Anolis sagrei: one gene and its partner. The protein of the gene in region 1 interacts with the protein of each later gene in a biochemical or structural test. Links are inferred from orthologs where the notes say so. Each region holds a gene or a part of one and is shown on either strand. Other genes may lie near its edges.

What was found.
Region 2: the proteins of TLN1 (region 1) and ITGB3 form a complex in vitro, tested with the Homo sapiens proteins (6 studies listed by BioGRID and IntAct, with this or other methods). The link is inferred for Anolis sagrei from reciprocal best matches to the Homo sapiens genes TLN1 and ITGB3.

Annotation. Positions count from the first base shown.
Region 1 is NC_090022.1:302,403,557-302,414,463, reverse strand, and holds the start of TLN1 (talin-1), read right to left. Parts: upstream 5,006-10,907; 5' UTR 4,918-5,005; intron 1-4,917. UniProt on the Homo sapiens protein: High molecular weight cytoskeletal protein concentrated at regions of cell-matrix and cell-cell contacts. Involved in connections of major cytoskeletal structures to the plasma membrane.
Region 2 is NC_090026.1:45,734,426-45,745,180, forward strand, and holds the start of ITGB3 (integrin beta-3), read right to left. Parts: upstream 4,099-10,755; 5' UTR 3,889-4,098; coding exon 3,816-3,888; intron 1-3,815. UniProt on the Homo sapiens protein: Integrin alpha-V/beta-3 (ITGAV:ITGB3) is a receptor for cytotactin, fibronectin, laminin, matrix metalloproteinase-2, osteopontin, osteomodulin, prothrombin, thrombospondin, vitronectin and von Willebrand factor.

The DNA of each region.
Region 1 (10,907 bases):
ACTAGTGGAGTTTGGGGAAAATAGAATCTTGACATTTGGGAGTTGTAGTTGCTGGGATTTATAGTGCACCTACAATCACAGAGCATTCTGAACCCCAACGATAGAATTGGGCCAAACCTCCCACACAGAACCCCCATGTGGGCCACAGCAACGCGTGGCAGGGGACAACTAGTAATAATAATAATAATAATAATAATAATTTCTCTGTAAGTGCCCCACACAAGGCCACAATGTACTAAAGGCAAAGAGCAGATTAGGGTTAGGAGGGTCCCCCAGTGACCATCCATTCTGGCCAGGAAGGCACAATCCGATCCCTCTTGACTGATGGCCACTCGGTCTCTGTTTAATAATAATAATAATAAATAGAACCATACAATCCTAGTATAGGAAGGGAACCCCATATGTCATTCAGTCCAACCCCTTGCCATGCAGGAAAAGCACAATCCGAATTATGCCAACAGATGGCCATCCAGCCTCTGCTTAAGAAGAATAATCATAGAATCAAAGAGTTGGAAGAGACCTCCTGGGCCACCATCCAGTCCAACCCCATTCTGCCAAGAAGCAGGAATATTGCATTCAAAGCACCCCTGACAGATGGCCATCCAGCCTCTGTTTAAAAGCTTGCAAAGAAGGAGCCTCCACCACACTCCGGGACAGAGAGTTCCACTGCTGAACGGCTCTCACAGTCAGTATAATAATAGAATCATAATCCTAGTATTGGAAAGGATCCCCAAAGGTCATCCAGTCCAAACTCCTGCCATGCAAGAAAAGCACAATCCGATACCTTCCAACAGATGACCATCCAGCCTCTGCTTAAGAATAATATAATTATAAATCTAGTGTTGGAAAGGATCCCCAAAGGTCATCCAGTCCAAACCCCTGCCATGCAGAGAAAGCACAATCCGATACCTCCCGACAGATGACCATGCAGCCTCTGATTAAACGCTTGCAGAGAAAGAAACTTTGCATCACATTTTAAAGCAGCACCAGCAGCAGATTCCAAACAGCTGTGATGGTCAGGAAGTACTTCCTAAACGTTTGAGGTGGGATCTCTTTTCCTGCTCTTTGAATCCACAGCTCCATTGTGTCTCCGGAGCAACAAGCGTGGCCTCCTCCTTAATATGTTATTTGTTCCAATATCTAAACAAGGCTGTCATGTCCCTTTCTCTCAGCCTCACATCACTGAGATGAACATGTCCATCTCTTTACGAAGGATTTTGCAGCTTCCATGCTTCTGGACATTAGGGCGGCCCTTCTCTGGACAGCCTCCTCCTTGTCCATCATCATCATCATCATCATCATCATTATTATGTACATTACAATGGATGAAACGAGACACATCACAGAGTTATAATGCATATCATAACGGATGAAGTTCAGAAGTCACAAAACTGGGAATGATGCAAGTCTAATAGACCTGAGAATAGTCATCGTGGCATTGGAAATGCCCTGCAATAAGTCCATAAAAGTCTGTTTTAAAAGACTTGTTGTCTTCTTGGATCAAGGGAAAACCAACTAGCAGCAGCAACATTATTATTTTTTTGTCGTGTCAGGAGTGACCTGAGAAACTTCAAGTCGCTTCTGGTGTGAGAGAATTGGCCGTCTGCAAGGACGTTGCCCAGGGGACTCCCAGATGATTTGATGTTTTTATCATCCTTTATCATCAGCAACATTTTGAAAGAATGGGAGTGCTTTGTATTATTATTATTATTATTATTATTATTATTATTAATACCTCACTTTATCTCCCCAAAGGGATTCAAAGCAGCTTGACATGAAAGCATTAGTAAATAATTTAAAATATAATCTTTTTTTTAATCGTGTTGGGAGCGAATTGAGAGTATACTGTAAGTTGCTTCTGGTGTGAGAGAATTGTCTGTCTGCAAGGACGTTGCCCAGGGGATGTCCAGATATGTTACCATCCCGTGGGGCTGACGGACAAGAGCTCATCCTGTTCCCTGGATTTGAATCGCCAACCTTTCAGCCAGCAGTCCTGTCATCACAAGGGTTTAATGCATCGTGCCACCAAGGGACAATAATAATAATAATAATAATAATAATAATAATAACAATATAAAAACTTTATTTCTATCCCACCCTATCTTCCCAATGGGGAATCAGAGGGGTTCACAACACACAGCAGCAACTATTTATCTGTATTTTAAATTTTATGGTGTATTTTTATGGCATTGAATGGTTGCCTTTTATGTTGTAAGTCACCTCTAGTACCCATGAGGAGATGGGGTGGTGGTATATAAATAAAGTTCAATTGATTGATTGATTGAACCGTTCTGAGTTCCCATTCGGGAGATAAGATGGGATAGAAATAAAATTTTATTATTATTATATTTTAAATTATATACTAATGGTTTCATGTCAAGCTGCTTTGAGTCCCCTTTGGGGAGATAAAGCGGGTTATAAATAATAATAATAATAATAATAATAATAAATGAAAAGTCGACAATGACAGATCCCAAATGTAGACTCTGCAAGGAAGCAGATGAAACAATAGATCCCATCCTCAGATGCTGCAAGAAGATCGCGCAGACAGACTCCAAGCAGAGGCGCAACACCCTTGCTCAGATGATCCATTGGAACTTGTGCCACAAACACCATCTGCCAGCGACAAGAACTGGTGGGATCACAAGCCAGAAAAAGTAACAGAGAATGAACACGTCAAGCTACTCTGGGACTTCCAAATTCAGAGTTTTGGAGCACAAGACTCCTGACCTCATGATCATATTAAAAAATGAAGTATGGATCGTTGATGTTGCAATCCCAGGCGACAGCAAGATTGAAGAGAAGCAACTGGAAAAGCTGTCATGCTACGAGGATTTCAAGATCGAACTGCAAAGACTCTGGCACAAACCAGTCAAGGGGGTCCCAGTGGTGATTGGCACACTGGGTGCAGTGCCTCAAGACCTTGGCCTGCACTTAAACACAATCGGCGCTGAGAAAATCACCACCGGTCAGCTGCAAAAGGCCACCTTACTGGGATCTGCATGCATTATTTGCCAAGACATCACACAGTCCTAGACCCTTGGGAAGTGTCCGATGTGTGATCCAATACAACAACCAGCAGAGTGATCTTGTCTGCTGTGGACTCATCTTGTTGTGTTTCTAATAATAATAATAATAATAATAATAAATGGAAAAGCTGACACGATATGAGGATTTAAAGATTGAACTTTACATGGAGATTTCATCTGAACATGAGGAAGAACTTCCTGACTGTGAGAGCCGTTCAGCAGTGGAACTCTCTGCCCCGGAGTGTGGTGGAGGCTCCTTCTTTGGAAGCTTTGAAACAGAGGCTGGATGGCCATCTGTCAGGGGTGCTTTGAATGCAATATTCCTGTTTCTTGGCAGAATGGGGTTGGACTGGATGGCCCAGGTCTCTTCCAACTCTTGGATTCTATGAACTGCAAAGACTCTGGCACAAGCCAGTCAAGGGGTTCCCAGTGGTGATTGGCACGCTGGGTGCAGTTCCTCAAGACCTTGGCGTGCACTTAAACACAATTGGTGCTGACAAAATTATCACCTGCCAGATGCAAAAGGCCACCTTATTGGGATATGCACACATTATTCGCCGATACATCACACAGTCCTAGACACCTGGGAAGTGTCCGACGTGTGATCCACTACAACAGCCAGCAGAGTGTCTGCTGTGGACTCATCTTGTTGTGTTTCAAATAATAATAATAATAGAAAGTGTCCCAGAACCATGATTTTAATTTTTTTCTAAAGGTCATAAGGCAGCAGATCTTACCTCCTTTGGGAGTTTGTTCCATAATAATATTAATTATTATTATTATTATTATTATTATTATTACTATTATACAAAGTGCCCCCATTCTTTCACGAGTCCCCCTGGGGAGGTAGTGTGGGCTCCAAATAAAGTTTATTACTATTATTATTATTATTATTTGAAACAGAAATTATTATTATTATTATTATTATTATTATAGAAAGTGCCCCCATTCTATTCTTTCATGAGTCCCCCTGGGGAGGTAGGGTGGGCTAGAAAGTTTATTATTATTATTATTTGAAACACAAATTATTATTATTATTATTATTATTATTGTTATTATTATTGTTATTATATGAGTCCCCCTGGGGGGGCTACAAATAAAGTTTTTTAAATTATTATTATTATTATTATTATAAACACAAATTATTATTATTATTATTATTATTATTATTCTAGAAAGTGCCCCCATTCTTTCATGAGTCCCCCTGGGGAGGTAGGGTGGGCTACAAATAAAGATTATTATTATTATTATTATTATTATTATTTGAAACACAAACTATTATTATTATTATTATTTGAAACACAAATTATTATTATTATTATTATTATTATTATACATTCTTTCATAAGTCCACCTGGGGAGGTAGGGTGGGCTAGAAATGAAGATTATTATTATTATTATTATTATTTGAAACAGAAACTATTATTATTATTACTATTATTATTATACATTCTGTCATAAGTCCACCTGGGGAGGTAGGGTGGGCTACAAATAAACTTTATTATTATTATTATTGTTTGAAACACACATTATTATTATTACTATTATTACTGAGTTTATTCCAAAAAGTTTCTGCTAGTTGCTTAAGTGGCTGGGAGGGGGGGGGGGGAGGAAAGGGCTTGAGTCTGTGAGGAATTCTGGGAGTTGTAGTCCCAAACACTTGAAGGGAAGGCCCAAGTGGGCCCAGGCCTGCCTGAAAGCCCCAGCCTGACTTTAGTGACCCCTGAATGGCTCTTTGGACCCCCCAAAGCCCCCCCCCCCTCAGAGAGGGACCCCCGCCCCCTCCTCACCCCAAAGAGAGAGGCACCCCCAACCCCAAAATAGGCCTGAGGACGCCCCCCAAAGCCCCCCTCCCCTCCCCTCCTCCCCTCCCCTCCTCCCTTCCTACCTGGGGACTCTCTCTCTCTCTCTTGAGGCGTCGGCTTTGGCTCTGGCCGAAGGGGCGTGGCCAGCGCAGCCTCTCCCTCAAGCCCCGCCTCCTGGCGCCCCGCCTCCCTCCCTCCCTGCCCCGCGCATGCCCAGAGCCTCCCGCCGCCTCCCTCCCGCCATCTTGGGAGAGGCCCGCCTCCTCGCCGCCATGCTGGGGGGGGCGGCGGGCAGACCACAGCGCCATCTTGTTTGCGGGTGGGGGAAAAGGGGAAGGAAACGGCCGCCCCCTAGAGGGACTTTTGGGGTACTGCAACATGTATTTATTTAGCAACAGCTTTTAAAGGGGAAAAAAAAGAGGAAAAGGAAAAAGGAAAATATTATTATGATTAAATATTGTATTTGTTATATCATATTATTAATTTATTATTTTCTTACATTACATTATTATAATTATTAAATATTTATGTTATCTATATATATATATATATATATATATTAGGGCTGGGCGGTTTCGTTCGTTAATTTCGTAATTCGTTATTAATTCATATTTAAATTAGCTTACGATCCGATATTGAGCCATGCAGGAGTAATTAAAAATCGAAACGATTTTTTCAATTTGTTTCGTAATTGTTTCATAATAGTTTCGAAATTGTTTTGAAATTGTTTCGTAATTATTTTCGCATTTTTCAGCATATTTTTAGCATATTTGGAGGGGTTTTTTTTGCATATTGCGCAATTGCGTCCGCCATTAACTAATCAATCTGAAATTTACGAAATTTCATAAATTTCGAATTTTTTTAAAGAAAAATTTCGGAATTCTTTTAAAAATCGAAACGCAAAAAAACCCTAAAAACGAAACGAGTTTAGAAACAAATTTTTCCGTTGTTACCCAGCCTTAATATATATATATGATCTGGCCACAGTGGTCCACGCTCTTGTTACATCCCCCCCCCCCCCGAATAGACTACTGCAATACACTCTACATGGGGTTGCCATTGAAGACTGTTCGGAAACTTCAACTGGTCCAGCGAGCGGCAGCCAGATTGCTCACCAAAGCGACATACAGGGAGCACACCACCCCCCTGCTGTGTCAGCTCCACTCACAAAATTTTTTCATGCCATCATGTCATCACGGCGCCTCCATGATGACATGATGGCAACAGTTTTGGCACTGCAATGGCTCCCAAAGTGACCCATTTAAGGTGGAATCGGGTGTCAAACAGGGATGATGTGTTATTGCCCCAACTTTATTCTCCATCTTCATTGCTATAATACTTCACCTTGTTGATGGGAAGCTTCCCACCCGAGTGGAAATCATCTCTCAGACAGATGGCAAGCTATTCAACCTCAGCAGACTGAAAGCCAAAACCAAGGTTACAACAACATCTGCTATAGAACTCCAGTATGCTGATGACAACGTCGTCTGTGCGCATTCAGAAGAAGACCTACAAGCCACTCTAAACACCTTCGCAGAAACTTATAAGAAGCTCGGCCTGTCACTGAACATCGAGAAAACCAAAGTGCTCTTCAATCAGTCACCAGCCATCCCCTCCCCAATGCCAGAGATACAGATTAATGGTGTAACATTAGAAAATGTGGACCATTTCCGCTCCCTTGGCAGCCACCTCTCCACCAAAGTCAACATCGACGCCTAAATACAACACCGCCTGAGCTCTGCGAGTGCAGCATTTTCCCGAATTAAGCAGAAAGTGTTTGAGGACCGGGACATCCGTAGGGAGACCAAGGGGCTTGTCTATAAAACTATTGTCCTCCCAACCCTGCTATATGCCTGCGAAAGGTGGACAGTCTACAGATGTCAACATTGACACTAAAATGCAACACCACCTGAGCTCTGCGAGTGCAGCATTTTTCCGAGTGAAGCAGAGAGTGTTTGGGGACTTGGATATACATAGGGATACCAAGGGGCTTGTTTATAAAGCTACTGTGCTCCCAACCCTGCTCTATGCCTGCGAAACGTGGACTGTCTACAGGCGTCACATGCAACTCCTGGAACGATTCCATCAGTGCTGCCTCCGGAAAATCCTGCAAATCTCTTGGGAAGACAGGCAGACAAATGTCGTGCTGGAAGAAGCAAAGACCACCAGCATTGATGCGATGATCCTCCGCCATCAGCTCCGCTGGACTGGCCACGTTGTCTGGATGCCCGACCACCATCTCCCAAAGCAGTTGCTCTATTCCGAACTCAAGAACGGAAAACGGAATGTTGGAGGGCAGGAAAAGAGATTGAAAGATGGGCTCAAAGCCAACCTTAAAAACTCTGGCATAGACACATAGAACTGGGAAGCCCTGGCCTTTGAGAGCTCCAGCTGGAGGTCAGCTGTGACTAGCAGTGCTGCAGAATTTGAAGAGGCACGAATGGAGGGCGGAAGGGAGAAATGTGCCAAGAGGAAGGCACGTCAAGCCAACCCTGACCGGGACCGCCTTCCACCCGGAAACCAATGGCCTCACTGCGGGAGATGATGCAGGTCAAGAATAGGGCTCCACAGCCACCTACAGACTCACAAGAGTTCTGATCCTGGAAGACTATCTTACTCGGCCAACGAGGGATCGCCTAAGTAAGTAAGTAAGTAATACATCTCTAAAGCAGTCCAGGGCTAACATGCACTCGGCCAAAGGTCCTGCCGAGTTTCCTAATCTTTTCTCGGCTATTTCCCAATGCATCCCAATGTCATCCCTTTGCGCTGTTTTGCAGTAATGCAAAGCCATTAAAATAATGATATGACCTCTAGTAGGACTTTTGAAACGGACTGTCTTAAGAGACAGTCCTGGCACCCAGGGTGACAGTAGTGGGCTCTGGAGGATCTTCTGAAGATCTGCTATATCTGTTGTGCATTGGCACATCTTTGTACCTGAGGTCAACGAACCCAGAACTCTGACTTGCAGCAGAGAGTTCCACAGTTCTCTATCGTCTGCTTGGGCCAACTTCTATGGAACGTGGCCACAGCAGCAGCTACAATCAAGAAACCTTCTTTTTGCTTCACTTTCTTCCCCTTCCTAACATTGTATCAAATACCCCAATAAAGTACTTACTTACTTAGGCGATCCCTCGTTGGACGAGTAAGATGGTCTTCCATTCTGGATTTCCTTGTGGGTCCGTATGTGGCTGTGGAGCCCTATTCTTGCTCTGCATCTTCTTCCGTAGTGAAGGCATTGGTTTCCAGGTGGAAGGCGGTCCCGGTCGGGGTTGGCTTGACGCGCCTTTTTCCTCCTGGCACGTTTCTCTCTTTCACCCTCCATTCGTGCCTCCTCAAATTCTGCAGCACTGCTGGTCACAGCTGTCCTCCAGTTGGAGCGCTCAAGGGCCAGGGCTTCCCAGTTCTCAGTGTCTAAGCCAGAGTTTTTGAGGTTGGCTTTGAGCCCATCTTTCAATCTCTTTTCCTGCCCACCAACATTCCGTTTTCCGTTCTTGAGTTCGGAGTAGAGCAACTGCTTTGGGAGACGGTGGTCAGGCATCCGGACAACGTGGCCGGCCCAGCGGAGTTGATGGCAGAAGACCATCGTTTCAGTGCTGGTGGTCTTTGCTTCTTCCAGCACACTGACGTTTGTCCGCTTGTCTTCCCAAGACATTTGCAGGATTTTCCGGAGGCAGCGCTGATGGAATCGTTCCAGGAATTGCATGTGACGTCTGTAGACAGTCCACGTTTCGCAGGCATAGAGCAGGGTTGGGAAGACAATGGCTTTATAGACAAGCACCTTGGTCTCCCTACGGATGTCCCGGTCCTCAAACACTCTCTGCTTCATTCGGGAAAATGCTGCACTCGCAGAGCTCAGGCAGTGTTGTATTTCGGTGTCAATGTTGACTTTGGTGAAGAGGTGGCTGCCAAGGTAGCGGAAATGGTCAACATTTTCTAATGTTACACCATTAAGCTGTATCTCTGGCATTGGAGAGAGGTTGGCTGGCGACTGCTGGAAAAGCACCTTGGTTTTCTCAATGTTCAGTGACAGGCTGAGAAAACCCAATAAAGTATCACTTAATAGTAAATTTTTCTCTTCCTAGTATTACTTTGTGTCTTTTACTGCCTCCAAACTTTTCTTTGCATGATCTTTTGCTCTCCCGGCCTGCCTGGGATACGATTTTAGCGTCCTGGGGAGGGTGGAACTGCGTCTCTCTGAACCGCGGATACAGAATCCCACTGGGCTTTATTATTTATTAATAAATTATTTTTATTATTATTAAATTATTTATTAATTATTTATAAATAAAAAAATTATTTTCGTTAATAATATTATTTTATTTTTATTAAACATTTTATCAAACTTAACAGTTATTTTTAAAAGCTATTTTCATTAAAATTATTGCCTATTATTAAATTATTTTATTAATTATTTATTGATAAAATAATTTTATTTTTATTTTAATTTTTTATTAAAATTATTTTAATTAACGCTATTATTTATTTATCAATAAATAATTTATTGTTATTATTAATTTATTTTATTAATTATTTATTGATAAAATAATTTAATTTTTATTTTAAAATTTTATTAAAATTATTTTAATTAACGCTATTGTTTATTTATCAATAAATAATTTATAATTATTATTAAATTATTTTATTAATTATTTATTGATAAAATAATTTAATTTTTATTTTAAAATTTTATTAAAATTATTTTAATTAACACTATTATTTATTTATTAATATATAATTTATTATTATTACTAAATTATTTTATAAATTATTTATTAATAAAATACTTTAATTTTTATTTTAAAATTTTATTAAAATTATTTTAACACTATTATTTATTTATTAATATATAATTTAATATTATTATTAAATTATTTTATTAATTATTTATTAATAAAATACTTTTATTTTTATTTTATTAAAATTAATTTTATTGAAATTATTTACTTATTAATAATAAGTAATAATTTACTTATTATTGTTATTAATAATAATTATTATTATTACTAAAAACAATTAAAAACACTCAAATGCAGGATTGGGATGATTTCATTGACTCTTCTCTGCAGCATTCGAGATTGAGATTCGCACAATGAATGGCAGCCGCGCGGCCCAATGAGATTCCGGCTTGAGCCGGGCCTGTCCAATCCGCGCGGGGGGAAAGGCGGGGCTAACTCTGTCTCTCTCTGTTTCTCTCTTTGTGGGCGGTGCCACAGGGGGGAATTCCCCAAGGCTCTAAGTGTCAGCCGCGTGGCCCAATAAAACACCGCCTTGAGCAGGGCCGGACCAATCAGCGCGTGAGAAGGGCGGGGCTTTCTCTTCGGTCTCTCTCTCTCTTTGTGGGCAGTGCCACAGGGGAAATGTCCCAAGGCACTGAGCGGCAGCCGCGTAGCCCAATGAGACTCCGGCTTGAACCGGCCCTATCCAATCGGCGCGCTGGGGAGGCGGGACCTTCTCTTTCTGCCTCTCTTTGTGGGCGGTGACACGAAGATAAATTTCCTTAGGCACTGAGCGGCAGCCGAATAGCCCAATGAGACTCCGGCTTGAACTCGGCCTGTCCAATCGACGCGCGGGGAAGGCGGGACCTTCTCTTTCTGTCTCTATTTGTGGGCGGTGCCACAGGGGGGAATTTCCTCAGGCGTTGAGAGGCACCCGCACAGACCAATGAGACTCCGGCTTGAACTGGGCCTGTCCAATCGGCACGCGGTGAAGGCGGGACCTTCTCTTTCAGTCTCTATTTGTGGGCGATACCACGAAGATAAATTTCCTAAGGCACTGAGCGGCAGCCGCACAGCCCAATGAGGTTCCGCCTTGAGCCGCGACTGTCCAATAGCCGCGTGGGACGGGCGGGACCTTCTCTTTCTGTCAATTTGTAAATTTCCTGAGGCGCTGAGCGGCAGCCACGACGCCCAATGAGCTTCCTGATTGAACTCGACGTATCCAATCGGCGCGCGGGGGAGGCGGAACCTTCTCTTTCTGTCTCTATTTGTGGGAGGTACCACCAAGATAAATTTCCTCAAGCTGTGAGCGACAGCCACGTAGCCCAATGAGGTTCCGCTTTAATCCGGGACTGTCC
Region 2 (10,755 bases), on another chromosome or scaffold:
AGGACTTCTGTCTTGTCTGGATTCAACTTCAATTTGCTTGCCCTCATCCAGACCATCACAGCGGCCAGGCATGGTTCAGGTCTTGGACAGCCTCCTTAGCATCTGGTGAAAATGAGTGATAGAGTTGGACGTCATCTGCGTACAGATGACATTGAACTCCAAAACTCCGGATGATCTCACCCAGCAGCTGTTACACATACACCTTATACAATATTTTAAATAATTTTGTGTATCAAAGGACTGATGTAAACTGAACCCTCAGAAAGCAAAGGTGCCACTTTCTCAGCCGCCCATGTCAGCACTTTTCAATTTGGGAGTGTATCATATTTCAGCATTCCAGATAAAGCATGCTCAACCAGAACATAGCTCTAGAAACGCATTACCTATGCTCCAAAGAAACAGACCTTTTAAACTGCACTTTGTAAACAAACCCTTCCTGTACAGAGATTGTATTTTTAAAAACTGGCTTTGTTCCAAGAGATAAGAAACAAATCCCTGGGTAAATAATACACAACAGTGCTGCAATTCTGCACAATTTACTTGGGACTCCTGTTTGAATTGGGATTTTTGACACACTTCCTTTCACTCATTCTCTGCCAAAGAATTCCACCCACTTTCCTCCAATTTCTAGCTGATATTTGTTTATTTGATACTGTTGCATTATCCGGGTGGAGGCCACAAGGGGGTGCTAGACAGAGAAATATAGTCAATTTTTTAGGAGGAGAACCTGTTTCCCCGTTTTCGCTGATTATTCTCCCACCAACTTCTCATTTCATAAATGAGGGATTTTCCATGACAGCGAAATGGGTGGGGGCAATATCAGGAAAACAGGAAAATAGTTTCACTTCTTCAACCCCCTCTCCCCCATAAAATGGACCATCTTTCTCTCTTTAGCGCCCCCTTTGGCCTCTGTCTGAATAATGAAATACAAATATTCTAAATACAAAATATTGGTAATATTGTCGAAGGCTTTCATGGCTGGAATCACTAGGTTCTTGTGGGTTTTTTCGGGCTATAGGGCCATGTTCTAGAGGCATTTCTCCTGACGTTTCGCCTGCATCTATGGCAAGCATCCTCAGAGGTGGTGACCTCACCACCTCTGAGGATGCTTGCCATAGATGCAGGCGAAACATCAGGAGAAATGCCTCTAGAACATGGCCCTATAGCCCGAAAAAACCCACAAGAACCTATTGGTAATATTTTCAATGAAAAGAAATATTTTTAAATGTTGTTATATATATATATATAATGTAATGCAATATGACACTACTAATAATATAATTATTAGGAGCCCCTAGTGGATTAAACAGCTGAGTGGCTGAGTTTGTTGACCAAAAGGTCGCAGGTTCGAATCCGGGGAGTGGCGTGAGCTCCCACTGTCAGCCCCAGCTTCTGCCAACCTAGCAGTTCGAAAACATGCAAATGTGAGTAGATCAATAGGCACCGCGCCGGTGGGAAGGTAACAGCGCTCCATGCAGTCATGCCACCCACATGACCTTGGAGGTGTCTATGGACAATGCTGGCTCTTCGGCTTAGAAATGGAGATGAACACCACACCCTAGAGTCGGACACAACTGGACGTAATATCAGGGGAAAACCTTTACCTTTGCCTAATAATATGATATTACAATTATATATTTATATTGCGTGTAATATTACTAATAATATTACAATATAATGGTATAGTACAATATAGTAATATTTAATACTGATATTGCACTATGCTAATAATATAATATATTGTATGTATATGTATCTTGTAAGAGCCCCTGGTGGTGCAAAGGGTTAAAGTGCTGAGCTGCTGAGCTTGTTGACCGAAAGGTCGCAGGTTCGATTCCGGGGAGCGGCATGAGCTCCTGCTGTCAGCCCCAACCTCTGCCAACCTAGCAGTTCGAAAACATGCAAATGTGAGTAGATCAATAGGTATCGCGCCGGTGGAAAGGTAACGGCGCTCCATGCAGTAATGCCACCCACATGACCTTGGAGGTGTCTATGGACAATGCTGGCTCTTCGGTTTAGAAATGGAGATGAGCACCACACCCTAGAGTCGGACACGAATGGACTTAGTGTCAAGGGAAAACCTTTACCTTTACCTAATAATATGATATTATAATTATATATTTATATTACTAATAATATTACAATATAATGGTATAGTACAATATAATATTTAATACTGATATTGCACTATGCTAATAATATAATATATTGTATGTATATGTATCTTGTAAGAGCCCCTGGTGGTGCAAAGGGTTAAAGTGCTGAGCTGCTGAGCTTGTTGACCGAAAGGTTGCAGGTTCGATTCCGGGGAGCGGCGTAAGCTCCCGCTGTCTGCCCCAACTTCTGCCAACCTAGCAGTTCGAAAACATGCAAATGTGAGTAGATCAATAGGCACCGCGCCGGTGGGAAGGTAACGGCGCTCCATGCAGTCATGCCACCCACATGACCTTGGAGGTGTCTATGGACAATGCCGGCTCTTCGGCTTAGAAATGGAGATGAGCACCACACCCTAGAGTCGGACACAACTGGACGTAATATCAGGGGAAAACCTTTGCCTTTGCCTAATAATATGATATTACAATTATATATTTATATTGCATGTAATATTACTAATAATATTACAATATAATGGTATAGTAGAATATAGGTAAAGGTTTTCCCCGACATTAAGTCCAGTTGTGTTCGACTCAGGGGTGTAGTGCTCATCTCTATTTCTAAGCCAAAGAGCCAGCGTTGTCCGTAGACACCTCCAAGGTCATGTGGCCAGTATGACTGCATGGAACGCCGTTATTAATACTAATATTGCACTATGCTAATAATATAATATATTGCATATATATATATATATATATATATATAGACTAGCCGTCCCCTGCCATGCGTTGCTGTGGCCCACATGGGGGTTCTGTGTGGGAAGTTTGGCCCAATTCTATCGTTGGTGGGGTTCAGAATGCTCTGTGATTGTAGGTGAACTATAAATCCCAGTAACTACAAGTCCCAAATGTCAAGGTCTATTTTCCCCAAACTCCATCTGTGCTCATATTTGGGCATATGGAATATTCGTGCCAAGTTTGGTCGAGATCCATCATGGTTTGAGCCCACAGGGCTCTCTGCATGTAGGTGAACTACATCTCCCAAACTCAATGTCAATGCCCACCAAACCCTTCTAGTGTTTTATGTTGGTCATGGGTGTTCTGTGTGCCAAGTTTGGTTCAATTCTATTGTTGGTGGGGTTCAGATTGCTCTTTGATTGTTGGTGAACTATAAATCCCAGCAACTACAATTCCCAAATGACAAAATCAGGTTTTTTTGAGTGAAGGACATACATTGGGTTGTTAGGTATCTTGTGTCCAAATTTGGTGTCAATTCGTCCAGTGGTTTTTGAGTTCTGTTAATCCCACAAACGAACATTACATTTTTATTTATTTATTTAGATAGATAGATAGAGATAGAGATATAGATATTGATATATCTTGTAAGCCGCTCTGAGTCCCCTTTGGGGTGAGAAGGGCGGCATATAAATGTTGTAAATAATTAAATAAGGTCTGTGGCACATCTCTGTCAACGGTGGCTGGTGCCTCGCCAAAACTACAAATCCCAGCAATTTGGGATCTGTCGTTTGGTGGGGCACCAACTTTCTTTGACAGTTAAAAGTGTTGTCAAACTGCATGAAACTCCAGTTAAAGTGATACCAAATTGCATTCATTCTACACTCTTGATGAGAGTCACCCCAAACTTCTCCCCTATCCCAACTTTCCCAGCCATACACAGAAATGAGAAATGCAATAATCAGCCTTGTCTCAAGTGCAACTTACCCCAGACTTTGGAGGTGAAGAAGAGCATGCTACACATTCCAAGGAGAGTGGAAGAGGAGGAGAATGTGCCCATGCTTTGCCTGTTCAGAGGAGCTGCTGGGGTAGAGTTGGAAGAAACTTTTCTGGGCGCCTCTGTCCCTGAGAGATGCTTGAAAGAGAGCAGGGAAACAGCTGTGTGCCCGCCCCACTCTCCCTCCCTCTCTGCCTGGCTCAGGTCACCAAGGCTTAGCAGGATCCGCCTCTTTCCTTTAGGAACTGCTTTGTTGGGGAGGAGAGATGGAGTGACCGACTCCTTCTGACCTTTATGACACTTTCCAGACCTCTCCCTCCTCTTCCCATTTTCCCACAGCCCCCGCCTCTCGCCAGGGTTTGAGATGCAGTTTGAGATATTATCATTTTCTTTCCAAAGTTCATGGAAACAAACAGAAAAGGAGAGGCGGCTTCTCTTCCGCCTTCTCTGCTGAACAAGGAGGTGCTGTGTTTGGCTGAAGTGAGTCTCCCTTGTTCAAACTCAGGCTGGCTCCACACTGCCACATAATCTTGATTATCAATGCAGCAAGATGGGATTTGTGGTTTGGCGAGGCACCCACTTTCTCTGCTAGAGGCCCCTTCTACACTGCCATATAATCTAGATCAGTGTTTCTCAATCTTGCTAATGCTGTGACCCCTTAATACCGTTCCTCATGTTGTGGTGACCCCCAACCATAAAATTATTTTCGTTACTACTTTAATAACTGTAATACTGTTATGAATCGTAATGTAAGTATCTGATATGCAGGATGTATTTTCATTCTCTGGACTAAATTTGGCACAAATACCCAATATGCCCAAATTTGAATAATGGTAGGGTGGGGTGGGGGGTTGATTTTGTCATTTGGAAGTTGTAGTTGCTGGGATTTATGGTTCACCGGCAGTCAAAGTGCATTATGAACTCCACCAACAATGGAATTGAACCAATCTTGGTACACAGAACTCCCAAATACCAACAGAAAATAGTGGAAGGGTTTGGTGTGCATTGACCTTGAGTTTTGGAGTTGTAGTTCAGTTACATCCAGAGAGCACTGTGGACTCAAACAATTATGGATCTGGACCAAACTTGGCATGAAAACTCAATTAGCCCATATGTGAACACTGGTGGAGTTTGGGGAAAATAAACCTTGACATTTGGGAGTTGTAGTTGCTGGGATTTATAGTTCACCTACAATCAAAGAGCATTCTGAACTCCCCCAACGATAGAATTGGGCCAAACTTCCCACATGTAACCCTCATGAGCAACAGAAAATACTGTGTTTCCTCATGATCTTTGGTGACCCCTCTGATACCCCCTCGCGACCCCTCCAAGGGTCCCGACCCCCAGGTTGAGAAACACTGATCTAGATTATCGGATGAGATTATCCACATTATTTGCTTTGAGCTGGATTATATGAGTCTACACTGCCATATAACCCAGAATATAATTTGGTGAGGCACCAGCACTTTTGGCAGAGAGGGCTGAACACTCTGTAAAACTACAGCTTCCATAATTCCACAGCATTGAGCCATGGTGGTTAAAGTGATGTCAAACTGCATTACACATGGAGTGGCTTTCCCTCCCAACTCCTCTAATAATAATAATAATAATAATAATAATAATAATAATAATAATAATCTCTATATATAAAATGCTCAGTGCATAATGAGTACCTTAAAAACAAAAGAACTAATGAACGAAATCACACCAAATTTGGCAACAAAACGTCTCACTACACAAGGAATGACCATCACTCAAAAATTATGATTTTGTCATTTGGGAGTTGTAGTTGTTGGGATTTATAGTTCATCTATAATCAAAGAGCATTCTGAACACCACCAACGATGGAATTCAACCAAACTTGGCACACAGAACTCCCATGACCACCAGAAAATACTGAAAGGGTTTGGTGGGCACTGACCTTGAATTTTGGAATTGTAGTTCACCTACATCTAGAGAGCACTGTGGACTCAAAGAATGTTGGATCTGGACCAAACTTGGCACAAATACTCAATATGCCCAAATATAAATACAGATGGAGTTTGGGGAAAAAAGACCTTGACATTTGGGAGTTGTAGTTACTGGGATTTATAGTTCACCTACAATCAAAGAGCGTTCTGAACCACACTAATGACAGAATTGGGACAAACCTCCCACACGGAACCCCCATGACCAACAGAAAATACTTAAGGCCATTCAGTCCAACTCCCTTTACCAGGGCAAGAAAATGTAATCAAAGCCCTCCTGACAAAGAACCACCCAGCCATAGATATAGAGAGAGATATATGACTCACACACACACACACACACACAGATATAGTATCATAGATTTGAAAGGGACCACTAAACAAGGACAATTCTATTTTGCATGCTCCAGAGTAGGCCAACTAGACAATCTCTATATCAACACAAGCATAAAGAAATTACATATATTAGAAACCAACACTTTCTCATTACTTCATTTTCCAGATCACCAGACTGGGCCACAGCAACGCGTGGCAGGGGATAGCTAGTAATAATAATAATAATGCTGTCACTCACTGGGCCTGTAATAATTGTCTTTTGAACAGGACGTGCACTTTGTGCCCAGCGGAAAGCCAGGGCGCCTTGATAGAGAGGCCCTAAGGATTTTCCTCTGGAAGAGTCTTTAGAGGCTTGAAAGGTTTAACAAAGTCCTTTATTGTTGAACAAATTAAACAAATACTTCTTCAGTCTTCAACGACAATCATACAAATGACTGGTAGCTTTCTTAATCTTGTCCACAAGTAACAGGCAAATGGCTTTGACAACTGTTTCTTTTCTTTTGAAAGGAAAACCCTTTTTTAACTTCTCCCAGGCAATCTACTATAATAATTACTGTTTCCGTGTATATTGTAATCTGCTCTGAGTCCCCTCGGGGATACAGAGCGGAATATAAATAAAGTATATTATTATTGTTGTTGTTATTATTATGGTTCCAAGAACATACACAGATTATGCTAAGGAGGTAATAAGCCACCCAGCTTTGATGGATCAGCCCCAAATTATCCATAGTTTGCAAACGAGTCCAACTGTAAAGTTTTTATCAAAGAAACATAACTGATTGAAGAAGGTTTGGTGCCTGCAGTTTAAGTAATTGAACAAAGATCACCCAAAACACCAGACATTAAGGAACTGAATTCGTTGATAATTGGGAAGAAGGGAATATGCTGCTTATGTAATTAGTTGCATCTTTTAATATGTTATGTACACCTGAAAGTTTTGTTTTCAGCTTCTCCTTTACTGCCCCCTTGTGTTCAGATCCAAGCCATACAGAGAACATAGGTGGGATATACAATGCCCAAGGCCTAAATGCTGAAGGCATCGGATGCTCTGACTTTGAAGCTAGGCAGACTCAGATTTGGTTGGCACTTGGAAGGGAGACCACCAAGGAAAATCAGGGGCTGTAGGTGCGACCAGCTCTGAATATTCTTTGCCTAAGAAAATCCAAGGAAATGAATGATTTGCCACGTGTTGATAACTGACTTGAAAGCTCCTTCTACATTGCCATATAGGTACTAATTCAGCTACAACTTACAATGTTGCAAAGTTTTGTGAAGCAGCATACAAAATCTGTCAGGGAATTATTATTATTATTATTATTATTATTATTATTTACTGTATTTGTATACCGCACTTCTCAGCCCTCAGGCGACTCAGGGCAGTTTACAATGGCAACAATATGATGCCCCAAAACACCATAAAACATTTTAAAACATTAACACATAATATAAAACCATAACAAGAATACTAAAAACAAAGATCATTTGCATCTCCTAATAAAAACATTGTCCCATCTCGTCGTCCAGTCGTTCCAATTCCTATGTCTTTTTCCTTGCATTTTCAAACACTTACTCCAACAACCAAGTCTTGACTCTCTTCCGAAATGTTAAGAGGGAGGGGGCCGATCGAATGTCCCCAGGAAGAGCGTTCCATAGTCGAGGGGCCACCACTGAAAAGGCCCTGTCTCTCATTCCCACTAAACGTGTTTGTGACGCAAGCAGGATCGGGAGCAGGGCCTCCTCGGACGATCTTAAATTCCTAGCAGGTTCATAAAGGATGATGCGTTCCGCCTGGTAAGTTGGGCCAGAACCGTTTAGGACTTTATAGACCCGGTAGCAAACTGGCTGCTAGTGGAGCTGGTGCAACAGAGGAGTTGTATGCTCCCTGAGTGTTGCTCCTTTTAGTAATCTGGCTGCCATCCGTTGGACCATTTGAAGCTTCTGGACAGTCTTCAAAGGCAACCCTGCGTAGAGCGCGTTGCAGTACGTTATACGGGATGTAACCAGAGCGTGGACTACCGTGGCCAAGTCAGACTTCCCAAGGTCCGGGCACAGCTGACACACAAGTTTTAACTGTGCAAATGCTCCCCTGGTCACTGCCAAAACCTGGGGGTTCCAGGCTCACCAATGAGTCCAGGATCACACCTAAGCTGCGAACCTGCATCTTCAGGGGGAGTGTAACCCCATCCAACTCAGGCTGCAACCCTATACCCTGTTCAGCCTTACGACTGACCAGGAGTGCCCCTGTCTTGTCTGGATTCAATTTCAATTTGTTCGCCCTCATCCAGATCGTCAAAGCGGCCAAGCACCAGTTCAGTACCTGAACAGCCTCCTTAGTAGCAAGTGGGAAGGATTGACAGAGTTGGACGTCATCTGTGTACAGGTGACTGGTCCCAAGAGTTAACTGTGTATCCAGTAATCATCTTCCTTGATTCTATAATTGCTGATAGACCTGTGCATTGTATGTTTTCACCCTGTTTCCCCTTCTGCTCCCTCACCCCTATTGTGCTTCAGTATTTGTATTTACATTTACGTGCAGAATATTTTATCCTTATTCCTCTCTATCTTGAAATCTGTTAGGTTTGGGAATGACCCTGGACTCATCGCTGAGCCTGGAAGCCCAGGTCTCGGTGGTGGCCCGGAGAGTTTTTGCACTATTAAAACTTGTGCGCCAGCTGCACCCGCTCCTTGGGAAGTCTGATTTGGCCACAGTGGTCCACGCTCTTGTTACATCCCGAATAGACTACTGCAATGCTCTCTATGTGGGGCTGCCTTTGAAGACCTCTCGGAAGCTCCAATTAGTCCAATGGTTGGCAGCCAGGTTACTCACTGGAACGGCATACAGGGAGTGTACAACTCCTCTGTTACGTCAGCTCCACTGGCTGCTGATCAGCTTCCGAGCACAATTCAAAGTACTGGTTTTAACCTTTAAAGCCCTAAACATTCTGGCCCAGATTACCTGTCTGAATGTATCTCCTATTATGAACAATCATGAAGCTTATGATTGTCAGGAGAGGTCTTGCTCATCGTACCACTTTTGCAAACGCGGTTGGTGGGGACAAGAGACAGGGCCTTCTCGGCAGTGGCCCCGTCTGTGGAACTCTCTCCCTAAGGACATCAAGTTGGCCACCTCCCTTCTGTCCTTTAGAAGACAATTGAAGACTTGGCTTTGGGACCAGACGTTCGATTAGTGGACAGCGGCAATTGGAAAGAAACTTAGGATATCTCTAACATTGGATTTAAACTGACTTCGATTTGGTTTTAATTAGCATGTTTAACTTATTGTTTAATGAATTGTATAATGTGTTTTTATTGATTTTTAATGTTTTAAATGTAATTTTTGATTGTTTATATGTTGATAGCATCATATGATGCTAGTGTAAGACCGCTCTGAGACCCTTCGGGGGAGAAGGGCGGGGTAGAAATGCATGAAATAAATAAATAGTATTCAGGCCTGAAATCATATTTCAATTTTAATATTTTTGAGAGTCTTCGTGTATTTTTTTCCAGTAGTTTTTAACTTCTTTGCAGGACCCCCAAGAATGGAAGATGGTTCCCACTTCTTCCCCACATTTCCAACATTTGTTGTTTTGATTCTTATAGCACCTTGCCAGATGCTGGGGTGTGAGATGCCATCTATAAAACATCTTATACCAATTTTAGGGGGGAAAGTAATAGAAAATGTAATAGTAATGTGACTTTTATTTCCTGTGCTGGTCTATGACCGAAATAAATGCTTTGAGTGAGTGCACGGCCATATAATCCAGATTATCTGATTTGAACTGCATTATATAAGTCTACACTGTCATATAACCCAATTTAAAGCAAATAATCTGGATTTTATATGACTGTGTAGAAGGGGGCATAGATACCAACTAATGCTATTACTATTTGCTTGTTATTCTGGAGGTAGACCTTGATGAATCTAGAATACTTCTATGTCAGTTATAACATAGTGCTGAAGACACAGAAGAAGAAGTAGGCTATGGTGCTGTTTTAAATTCTTCATTTTTTATTTATTTATTTACTTACTTACTTTATTTATATACCGCTTTTCTCAGCCCTCAGGTGACTCAAAGCGATGAACAACATCAATACAAAACATCACGAGACAAGTATAGGGCAATTAAAAACAATTGTAACATAAATCACTAAACATCCGTATAACAATCATTAGCGCCTCAACAGTAAAATCAGAATCCAGTCTCATCATCCATTATTCTGTATTCCTATGTTCAATTACACTGCTTAATCAAATGCTTGTTCGAACAGCCAGGACTTCACTTTCCTCCGAAACGCCAGCAGGGAGGGGGCCGATCTGATATCTGCAGGCAGGGCGTTCCACAGCCGAGGGGCCACCACTGAGAAGGCCCTGTCTCTCATTTCTGCCAGGCACGCCTGTGATGCAGGCGGGATCGAGAGCAGGGCCTCCCCAGATGATCTTAGTGTCCTAGTCGGTTCATAGGAGGAGATGCATTCGGAGAGGTAACTAGGGCCAGAACCGTTTAGGGCTCTATAGGCTAAAGCCAGCACTTTGAACTGTGCCCGGTAGCAAACTGGTAGCCAGTGGAGCTGGCGCAACAGAGGAGTAGTATGCTCCCTGAGTGCCGTTCCTGTTAGCAACCTGGCT